Linked DNA regions of Kluyveromyces lactis. The protein of the gene in region 1 binds, or shares a complex with, the protein of each later gene. Links are inferred from orthologs where the notes say so. Each region holds a gene or a part of one and is shown in the gene's direction. Other genes may lie near its edges. The genes, in order: TTI1, TTI2 and TEL2.

Region 1 (4,187 bases):
AATCCGATGGACGTAATTATCCCCCGCATAATCCCATACCCGTTTTGTTGTCAAATCCATTGCAAAACAATGGTTCGATTGTTCGTAATGGCATATTGCATGTTGAGAATTATAACGACCACATCCAAGATGTCCACAAATTAGACAGATCCAAAGATTGTTCGTTTCACCGCATTCTAGACAACGCGGCAGTGGTTCATTATTAACATCTTTTAACTGTGAGTATCTGCAGACAGGGCAATTACCGTTTTTCCATTGATCTAGGCACTTACAATGGAACGTATGTTGACAAGGGGTTGTGACTAATCCAGTAACTTCGCTGTCTAATTTTTCTAGGCAAACAGGACACATAGGTAGTTCTATTAAACCATCAGATTGTTCTGAACTACTCTGAGTAAACGGATATTTTAACATGTAGGGGAGAGCATCTTTATCTTCACTAAACATTCCTTGATGAAATATAAGCTCCTTAATTGCTACCACATGACATGTTTCTGGATCAATTTCATTGAACTTCTTCCCATCGAAGAGCTTCTGAAACTCTTTCGCCAAGCTTTGTTCCTTAAATTTCATCAAAAGCATAAACCGTCCTTTTTCCTTGTTCATTTTTATTAATTGTAAATGCGTCACTTGATTGGTTGTTTCTTCTCCAATAAACCATCCCAATAGTCTGTTTATGGTCAAGTAGTTTGGAATAAATAGTATGGCTAGCATCCTTCCATCACCTAATTCCCGGTAGAGTTCTTTATCATCAAAGGTACCAACTGATGCGTGGCCATTCTTGAAAAGCCGTATAATACCATGGCCACACCATTCGGATTCGATGGAAACTTTGTTACTACAAGAATGTAAACTTAGCATTGGAATATGGTTCCAACTCTGTTCAATACGAGAATCAGTCTTCCGCTCAAAAGTCAATTTGCCAGACTTAAAAAACTTATAACAATCGTCTAGACTTTCTGTTACCTCGATAAGTAATGTATATTCCATATGGATTATTCTTAGACCCGACAGGTAACTAGTAGGCAAAATGTAAAGTTTTCTGGTTGTACGAAGGTTCGCCTCTTGGCGTCATATTAGCTGTTGCCAGTAGTCATCTCATCCCTAGGAATATCAACAATCGGGATGAGAACCTGCCAAAGGAAGAATGGAAAAAAAAACGATCACGTGATTTTAATGATATACTTAAGCCTTCTCAATGAAATGCATCTTTTACGCGATGATCTGCCTTATTCTCGAAATATATGTTAAACATAACGAGTTACCGTCACAGCTTTTTGACATAGCATAAAAATATATCATCAGAAGCCGCTTGAGATACTACTATGTTTACACAAGGTCAGCATGTTCGGTCAGAACATGCAGGAACTAAAGATGAAGCCTTTGGAAAGATAAAACCAATCTGTGTGAGACTCTCCCAAGTTACCTTCAGGAAAGATGAGCTACTCATATTACAGGATCCGCAGTTAAAACAGTTACTACAAGATTTGATTCAAAACTTAGATATCCTTATAACTAAGCACAAATCGCTTTCAGGGAGGTTTGGAGACTATGTGTTTGTGCCTATCTCTGCAATGTTGAAAACGTGTAAATCACTTCCGGACCCAATTGCAACATTAGTATTCGAAATTTTGGCGAGAATAATAGACGTTTCGTGGAGTTTACCGGCGACAGTGGATCGGAACACATTCTCGCAGCTTCTTTCCCTATCAACCTTTCTAATATCTACCGATCTAGAAAATGTCAACCTTCCCAATAAACCAGACGAATTCAAGATTGCTTCCATCAGACTTTTAAGAGTTTTGTATTCCACAGCAGCTTTCAAGGAATGGGATGCAAATATGCTCCCAGCAATTGCACACTCAATCACCATTTTGTTAACATTATTAGAAAATAGCAATATGTCAATCCAGTTAGAGAGCTCAAAAACACTAAGATTACTGTACAGAGTAATAAATGACGGAGAAATGTTAAGTAATGTGGTTCCCGGAAATGTCTCTACATTTGCTAAGATTCTCTCTCGTCCAGGGTTGACTACTCATGTGAAAGTGGCAAGTGATGTATTATCGACTATGTCAGAACTATTGTGTATGGTATATGGTGACTCTTCTTTGGAAACTTTCATCAAAACGTCTACAGGAAATACTGCTGTTGAAGTAAAAAATCCAGGAAAGCACAGAACTACCAAATGGTTAAATGCCACATCAATTCAATTGAAACGCGCACTTGAACCCACCTTTTCAAAGCTCACTAAAAGGAATAATGAAAAACTGAATGGTGAACTATTTGAAGCTTGTGTTCTACTACTTAATAAATGCCATAATTCACTTTATGGGTGCAGAGAAGTTATACTAAAGACGGCTCTTACAGTAGCAAGGGATAACGTCTTTGCATTAGAAAGATTCAAGAACGATATTGCAGCATTCATGAGAGATAACAATATTCAGGTCGAAACAAACTTCGAAGAAATCAACCAATATAATATTGTGAATAATGCATTAAGAATTTTGGATACAGATCAGCTTGAGGAATATCAAATATCAAAAACTGTTGCTTATGGAATATATGACTCTTTGAAAACCCATTTGTTGAGTTTAGACAAAACAGAGAACATTAATTTAATTAAGGTTACCAGTTCAGAGGTAAACTACTTGGTAACATCGGGATCTCTTAATAATTCTGAAGTTTCCATAATTCCGAAAATATCATCTACAGCGTACGAAAATGTTACAAATATTTTACTGCAACTAGGATCCAAGATGAGCGCCTCTTCAATACAAGAACAAATCATTGAGTTTCTTTCAATAGAATCAGATGTCTTAAAAAACTCAAACGAAGCTCTTTGGATAGCTTCAACTTTATTAACAGGGTATAAAAACACTGACATAAGTGATTTTCTTGCGCATGATTCAGACCCAATCTCCTGCCAATATGACATTATAGAAATGGCAAATGAGCGGGTATCAATTTTATCGAATCAAACGGAACTAAACGAGTTGCAGCGCACCAATTTGACTATGAATTTGTTTGCTATGAAACAAATGATTATTCTAATGGGTAAAGATTTCAAAGATGAAATGTTAGATTACATCTATAATGTCATTGAATGTTTCGCAAGCGATGATGAGAACACAAGATTCATTTCGGGAAATATTCTTCAATATTTGGCCAATGAATTCTACCAGGGTGCAATGCTAAATTTGTTTCAAGATAATGTTAATTACATAATTGACGGAATCTCAGTTAGACTTGACAATTGTCTATTCCATCGTGCATATATGGTTCTTCGTGTAGTGATAAAGGTTTCTGGATACGATCTTGTGGAACGTTTGAATGATATCCTAGAGAAGCTATTTTGGATGTTAGGATATTATCATGGATACGATGACCTCTGCACTGTACTATTGAACTTATTCATAGAGATTTCATACAAGATACAATACACTTTCTTGAGCAAATCGAGCGGACAATCTATCGAGATCAAAACCTGGAACCAGGATTCCTTCAAGCCATGGGGTATGTCTAATATCGAACAAGTATTAAATGTATTGGATCAGGAGAAAACTGCTGCAGATGATTATGGTAGCATTGCTGAGGTAGAACCACCTGAACAGACGGCCGAGGAGTTTTTCAAGGAAAGGTTTGAAAAGGATAGCGATGACGAAGATGAAGACGAAGAAGATGCTGTATCGGAGAACAATTCCTCGGTGAATAATGGGGAGGCGAAAGATGAGATGAAATGGGAGTCCCCAATATCAAGGGATGCCTATATGTTACTTTTAAGGTTTTGGACGTACGCAGACAGGCTCTTAACACATTCATCGCGTTCCGTGAGAAATAAATGCTTAGATCTACTTCTCTTACTATGTCCCATGCTCTCTACACAGCAGGCGGTCTTTTTACCAAACGTTGCCAAAGTCTGGGATATCGTTGTACGGTCAGCCATCTCCGAGGATCTCGCACAAGTTGGTAGAAGTTACGAACTTTTAAACTCTTTGGTTTTACACACTGATTCCTTCCTCATGAAAAGGGTACTAGATATGTGGAAACTCTTTTCTGCAAGGGACACCATGGTATCCAAAATGCTTTCTCCAATTTCCAAATCTACTAGAGTCCACACAACGAACACTTTGCAACTACAAGCATACCTTCGTTGCAGCAAATTGCTTATAACGTGTATGAACCAA
Region 2 (3,406 bases), on another chromosome or scaffold:
GCCCCGACAATATATGCTTTCCAGCAATGTCTTTGCCGACAGCACTGATTAGTGTGGTTTGATGTTGAGAGCTTCGATTACTGTAGTTTGCACTTAACGCAACGTTGTGTCCAACTCCTCCAATAGAGGTTGACGCTTTCCCAGGATTAGAATCACCTTGGTATATATGTGAAGAATTGAAAGTGCACTGAGTATCAAGAGCGACAGAGCCAATTACCGCAGATAGAACCTTTGTCTCCTTTTCATTGCCTGAAGTTTCCTGGCTTGTCATAGTTCCCCGTTGATTTTTAGGCTCATATCTTGGAATAATGTTTTGCTTTAGTTTAGATAGAGAAGCCGCTATATTTGCTGCAATTTTACAGTTGTTCAGTACAAATGAAATATTACATTTAACAGACGCTCCTGAAGTCTTTGAAGCTATCTCCCTGAGTAAAAAAGGTGTTAACTCTTTACCACTAATACCTGCTGCTGCTGCATTTTGGCATGCTTGTTCTATTATATCGTTAATGAAGTTATCATCCAAAGCCACTTCTCTTGGAGGAGGGCAACAGAATAAGTAGCCCGAATTTAACCCAAATTCATTACCATCTCGTATAATTTGTGCAGCTTCCAGATAAGAGTTAAAATTATAAGGAGATTTCACTCCTGAATCTCTAGTATAGAAACCTGGAACATTCGTCCCCGGGGGCCCCATTGTAGCTACCATGCATCCTTTAGTCTCTAAATATTCCATAGTTCTAGGGATATCCAATATTGCCTTTGGGCCTGCACACACCACGGATACAGGAGTTCTTCCTAATTCTTCTAAATCAGCACTAACATCAAGAGTTAGTTCACCGCCTTTATGAACGCCACCTAGTCCCCCTGTAGCAAATACTTCAATACCTGCCTTGTGGGACAAGATCATCGTACTCGATATTGTAGTGCCTCCATAAAGTTTTTGAGCAATAGTATAAGATATATCACGTCGAGAAACTTTATTTACCAGACCCTTCCTAGCATACTCTGCTAATTGTTCGATTTCTCTCGTCTTTAATCCAACTTTAGGGATACCATTAATGAAAGCTGTTGTTGCAGGTATGGCTCCGTTGTTCCTGATTTCTTGCTCCACCTTCAAGGCCATCTCTATATTTTCCGGGTACGGTAATCCATGTGATATTATGGTGGATTCCAATGCCACTACGGGCATTTTGGCATTCAATGCCTCCCGTATTTCATCAGAGACAGACAAATGCAGCCTTCGATGACCTATCCTTTGTACATGAGACCTCACTGAAGTTCGTAGCATCTTGTCCAGCAGTCAATGCTATCAGTTACCAGAATCACAAAAACACTCTTCAGCGAAGAACAACACTATCAGATAGCCTCAACAGTTATCTTCTCTGTTCGACGACATTATATCTTCTTCCGATATCACATAGTTTTCAGATCCATTTATTTTATATGTCATATTTTTGAGAGCTCATCCCAAATTCAAGCATATTGATGATCGTTACCAAGCCTTGCCGAAAAACCTCAAAATATAGCATTTCTAAGGCCAATCTAGAAGCCAATCGATTATACAATGAATCAACATGTGTTGAATTTTTTATTAAACCTTGAGGAAGACAAATTGAGTGTTCCAAGCAAAGATTCAGTAGAACAATTGATTATTTTCTATGATAAGAATATAAACGTTGAGAATAAGGAAGAATGGTTTACCAAAGGATTGGTCAGCTTGTCATACTTTTTGTTAAATGAACACTGGACAAGGTACGAGCAAAGAGATAGAGTAACACATCTTATAGATAATTATTTGGACCGAGATCATGATTTGGTACATTCCTTCATTTCTGCATTGAAACCAATGTTAATAAAATCGACCGGGATCAATAATGATAATTTAACCCCTTCAGGCCGCCGTAAGATTGAAAGCTCCAGACCTGGCCTACAGCCAAGATTAGGCTTTGAACAAACGTTTGGTGAATCAAGATGGAAAGAATGGAGGACTAATGGTGGATTACGAAGTATTGGGTTATTTTATATTATTTTGAGACACTTAGGGAAGCAGGAAATTTCTGCAAACCTACCCTGGATAAGTCCAGGAATACTTAATATAATTGATGACACTACATTAGGGCCAGAAAATGTGAGAGTTTATGGAATTATGTTGCTCTGCACATTACTAGAATCAGTGTTGAACAAGCGAGATACATATAATTTTAATTTCAAGGATACCGGGCTACAAAAGGTATACGAGCCAATATTGACAAACCTTTTATACAACTTACCACCATCCTCAACTCCAGAAGAGACGCTTCGCACATGGAAAGTGACATATCCTGCGTTACAGCTAATATTGAGAGTAGAAGCTTCAGATAACGATCAAGATTTTAGAGATAGATTAGGGCACATGTTTTCTGAGAATATATTACAACTTACTATTCCAAGAATCGGATTAGACTACCCTGGGCTCTCTTTGTGGATTCTTGGCTATTGTCAAGATGTTGTTCTGATGTTGGGGAAAGAAACAACATTATATTTACAGCGTGTGATATACGTTCTTGGGGAATTCTATTTCAGGAATGCGTTCATGACATTACAAATGCCAATTTTACATAAGTGTCTTGATCTATTGATATTACTCTGTGATCAATGTATTCCAGAGAGTATAGTCAATCAAAGGTATGATATCCTAGCTTGCATTCTACTATGCTATGAAAAATGTTACAACGAGGGATCTTTAACAGCAGATGTCTTAGACAAATGTAAAGTATTATTAGCTAAACTCGAATCATTCGGATGTGATTTCAAAGAAGAATCAAAGAAACTGAAGGAGCGTAAATCTCTTACTAATTTATTTGCATAAATACCTATCTAATTCATCACATAAAGAAAAATACTAACCCTGTAACTTAGCAATCCGAAAATAAAACGAACCAGGGGCGGGGCTCACTGATATATGTACAAGAAGTGGAGTCACACAACGAGCTTTACAGGTTCAGGTTTAGCAGGCGCTACATTTTCTTTTCACATCGCGGAGTGAAATTATTGAATAGATTGCAAACCCTTAACAATTCTGATATTTGTGTCCAAAAATCTGTTAACACAGTTGTTTAGGCATTGTTCTTCTTGAGAAGACAAATCAGCATTTTGAACGTTGCTAATACAGTTTTTGAAACAAAGATTGGTGAACTGATGAATAGACATCTGTACTTTTTGCTTGGAATTCTCGGATTCTAAAAAGGTCATGATTTCTTTCTTGGAACCATCATCCAAGTTAGATAAATCGTTTTGTGAGATAGAAGACATTCTTTGTATATATGTGTGGCTCTTTCCAAACTGTAAAGCGGTGCTGGTAACTATAGGATTGGCGTATTGTTTAAAATTTATTGAAGGTTTCCATCGCTATTTCGCTGTTTTGTTC
Region 3 (3,920 bases), on another chromosome or scaffold:
ATCACACAATCTCGAGGATGATTTGTTTAAGGCAGCTTGATACAAAAAAGGTCGTAGAAGTGCATCGATCTTACCTGCAGAAAAACTCTGGAGGCGCAATTGATTTCTTATTTCCGTGCAAACGTCCTTACCTATAACATCAGTCCTCAAAAATTCGGTCAAGTTCACTTGATCGTTCTCCATATGTTTCGTATACTCATCATAGTATTTCGGTAAATAGATGTGGCAGTTTACAGATATATCCTTTCGAAGTAATTTGGTAATTTGTCTTTGAAACGTCGAAGAATCCATATTCTTTATGTAATTACCAAATTCGAGTTTGAACTGATTCACATACTGAACGAATTTGAGTCCAAACAAAGGCTTGAATCCAGTTAGCAATGTAAAGAAGTTTAATATTAGCTTCACCAAAGCGTGGACTTTCACATTAGGGTCTTTCAGAAGGTATCGCGTATCATGAGCAAAGCATTCCAAAAGACTTTCCGCGTGTCTTTCTGTCGTTCCTGTTTTCAATATCAACTGCATTGTTATTACTTTTAATGTTGCTAAGTAATTCTCATTGCCCGCAGAAAAATCACTTAACAAAACGTCATCAATACCTTTGGCCTTAATTAAATTGGTTTCGTTGTATAGCATTAAGATCTGATTGCTAGCTTGTGTCAATTTGTTTCTCTCCATCAAAAAAATAATCCAATTCATATGCTTTTTCGGAAGTTCCTGAAGTTTCTTCAACTGATGACGCCAGATCAATTGGCGATATAACTGAATGAAACTATCATTTACTTGAATGTAGTTCTCAAAATCTTTGCTCTTATTATCCACAAAATCGTACAATTTCTTCCAGTCAATCAGGGAGTTGGTATTATTCTCCTGTGCTGTAGTTATCTTCGAACTATTTGACGTAGCCTGCCATTCCGTATCGTATTTTGTTGATCCAGCGTTTAACGGTCTTCTAACTCTGTTGTCAACTTTCATATCACTCAAGACACCTTTCATTTCGATATGACTGCTGTCTGTTTCAAACGTACTACAGTATGGGCTAAAGCCTGGCTACCCAATATCCACGAAGTTGGCGGGCTGATATGTGTATAGTCTCTAGTTCTTTCTGCAATCTGCCACTTTCAAGTACAGAATCTAATATGTAAACAAAAACAATTCTTTATTTGTGTTATTGTAAAGATTGACATTTAATATGAGATGAATAAAAGACTATGAGATGAAAACCTATAGATGAGACAAGCATTGCAAAGCTGCTAAAGTGCTGCTGACGTGATAGATTGTATATTATAGCGCACAATGTCCGGGATTGATAGTACTTTGTTGAATGAGAAATGTGATAAAGATACCATTTATCAGGTACTAGAACGAATGTCATCAAAGAAACAGCATTCTAGTAACGAAATACTCCCGATAATCAAGAATGTGGTACCAATATATCCATCGCTACCGAGAGAATTAAAGATGGCACTACGCAGGCTATGCGGTAATAATTACATATTCATATCATTGGTTATTGAGTATGCAAAAGAATTGGGTAAGAATCGTGAGACGTCAATATTCTACGGCTTTTTAACGGATGTTCTTAAGTATGAGAGTGATTGTCTATTCAATTACTTAGAGCATTCGTCAAGAAGAGATCTCCCTTTTATCAAATCGATTCTGTTTGGAAGCAGATGTTATAACGCTTTAAGCAGCAGTATTTCCATCGTTGAATATTTAAAGTTTATGAAGATGCAATGGGAATTTGTCTTTAAAGAGACGAAGCAATATGATAAGACGCATCTCGAAATGTTCGTTTCATGTCTACAGCTCAATATTCCTTATGGTGTTGATATATTCATTGAAGGGCTTGCTACTACTAGTGAATTTTCATGGAATGCTTTGATTATGATGTTATCAAAGGGGACCTCAGTTCAACAGAGGAGATTTTTCATGTATCATTTGGTCCCGTTCCTTGAAAAAGTAACTAATCCTGATAACAGCTCTACCATTTTCACACTACTATCCCAGTTACCATTCGATATCCCAACTAGCATAGATTGCTTCAAATGGGGAAATCCGTATTTTAAAATTGTTTACTTGCATGGTATGTCAGAAGCGAAACGTGCACAGCTCTTCAGAGAATTACTACCATGTTTTGAACTGATGGATTTATACACAGATGATTCACTCGCTGAAATCTTGGTAATGATATTAGATGCCATGTCTAAGGATTCCAGAGATGAACTATCGCATGATGCAATTTCCTTGAATTTTGTCACCAAGAGACTTCATTCTGAGGATCATCTGGTTAGGGAGCGTACTATGTTTGTTGCCAAGAAACTTACAAATGATCAGCTTCAATATGAAAGCGATTTTACAATCGATTTGCCTCGAATTGAACTAATCAAGCTATCCAAACTTGAATTTCCCATTAAGGAAGGACTACAAAATCTGCCAAAAGGGAACTCTACAAAGAATGAACTTGTACAGCAATTTAATACCATAACTTTGCAGGACAGTGACGATGAATCTGATGAAGAAGATTCTAGAGACATCTTGTTCCTCAAAGATCTTTTGCTGGAATTCGAGAAAGTTATCAAGAATGATGGGTCCGAACTTAGATTGCTAAAGGAAACTGTGAAGTTAGTACGACAGAAGAAGAACTTCCCAACAGAAGTATCTTTTTATTCTAAAGAACTCCTCAAAAAGATAGCCACCATATCGAACAAGTTTGACGAAAAATCATTTGAAGAATGGAAGGCTAATGCATTAGTTAGCATATTGGTTGTATGTCCAGACAAGATTGTCGATCTTTATGCAATTCTCTTCAATAACGAGTTATCGTTGCAACAAAGGATGGTAATCTTGACATCTGCAGCATTGAGTGCAAGGGAACTACGGGGTTTTGATGATGAATTTGTGGTGAAACCTAAATACGATTTTCCTACTAATCGATTACCATGGGATGAATCGGCCACTGAACAGCAACCTGAAAATAATAAGATACAAGATATTACTGAAATAACAGGAAGCAAGGTTACTTGGAGATCAAAACGTTTAGAGACTGATAGTAAGATTACACAACAGCAGAATAATTTTAGGAAGTACGCTACACTCTTCTTCTATCCCTTGGCACATGCTTGGTTGAACGGAATTAACCTTGGTGCATTCGATAAAGTGTTCAAGAGACACTACATATCTATGCTCAAGATCATTTTAACTTGTGCAAGTCCTCATTATGAGCTAGAAGAGATGCAAATTTTGATGCAAGAAATCCTTTCGGATGCTGTGAAACAACAAGTTCAAACCTCTTAAGACTCATTGAATGACAAAATCTGGGGAATTCAATGGAGCCTATGGTTAGAGGAAAAAAAAATTTTCATCAAATTACTACCTGCACACGCAATGTATATCTCGACATATTTGACTTCATAACCTATTTACACTGTTAAACCGTCTCGAGCGTGCAACCAAAGGTTTCATTGCTTTCCCATAAGCAGTTAACGAGTTTAGGTGCCCCAGCGCATTGGTCACGTGATTTCCCGAAGCTTCTCTTTTAAGGTAAAGAAAACGCTCAAAAGTTCGGAATAAGACGCTGATCATTACAAACAACCATTCACTTCTGCTCACCGCCAATCTACCGACACGTTAGATCTGGGTAACAAGTAGCTACTTGCGTCAGCCAATGAAACATGGGATATGATATTATATCGCTGTTATTCAATGGCATTAAATCAATTCTGGCATTGATGACGATACTTTTCGTTACGCAACAGATTATATTCAATCTTGCGTTACTATACTTCAATGCTAGGATTGTCATTTCTAAGCTCCAGATTGGATTTTTATTTGGACGAAGCATTTATTGGTTGCATCTTATTTACAAAGGCTACAGTTTTAAGGTACGGAAGGTGTTACTACTCTCACTTTTTTCTAAG

Evidence for each region.
Region 2: TTI1 (region 1) and TTI2 share a complex: the UniProt entries of both Saccharomyces cerevisiae proteins name them as parts of the TTT complex. The link is inferred for Kluyveromyces lactis from reciprocal best matches to the Saccharomyces cerevisiae genes TTI1 and TTI2.
Region 3: TTI1 (region 1) and TEL2 share a complex: the UniProt entries of both Saccharomyces cerevisiae proteins name them as parts of the TTT complex. The link is inferred for Kluyveromyces lactis from reciprocal best matches to the Saccharomyces cerevisiae genes TTI1 and TEL2.

Annotation. Positions count from the first base shown.
Region 1 is NC_006042.1:2,389,790-2,393,976, forward strand, and holds the start of TTI1 (Tti1p), read left to right. Parts: upstream 1-1,325; coding exon 1,326-4,187. Other genes in the region: ETP1 (Etp1p), read right to left, coding at 1-990. UniProt on the Saccharomyces cerevisiae protein: Component of the ASTRA complex involved in chromatin remodeling.
Region 2 is NC_006038.1:366,616-370,021, forward strand, and holds TTI2 (Tti2p), read left to right. Parts: upstream 1-1,564; coding exon 1,565-2,848; downstream 2,849-3,406. Other genes in the region: KLLA0_B04004g (pseudouridine-5'-phosphate glycosidase/carbohydrate kinase family protein), read right to left, coding at 1-1,288; protein transporter TIM8, read right to left, coding at 3,028-3,291. UniProt on the Saccharomyces cerevisiae protein: Component of the ASTRA complex probably in chromatin remodeling.
Region 3 is NC_006040.1:1,280,599-1,284,518, forward strand, and holds TEL2 (Tel2p), read left to right. Parts: upstream 1-1,296; coding exon 1,297-3,297; downstream 3,298-3,920. Other genes in the region: ESP1 (separase), read right to left, coding at 1-996; HOB2 (Hob2p), read left to right, coding at 3,675-3,920. UniProt on the Saccharomyces cerevisiae protein: Part of the TTT complex that is required to stabilize protein levels of the phosphatidylinositol 3-kinase-related protein kinase (PIKK) family proteins. Required for telomere length regulation and telomere position effect.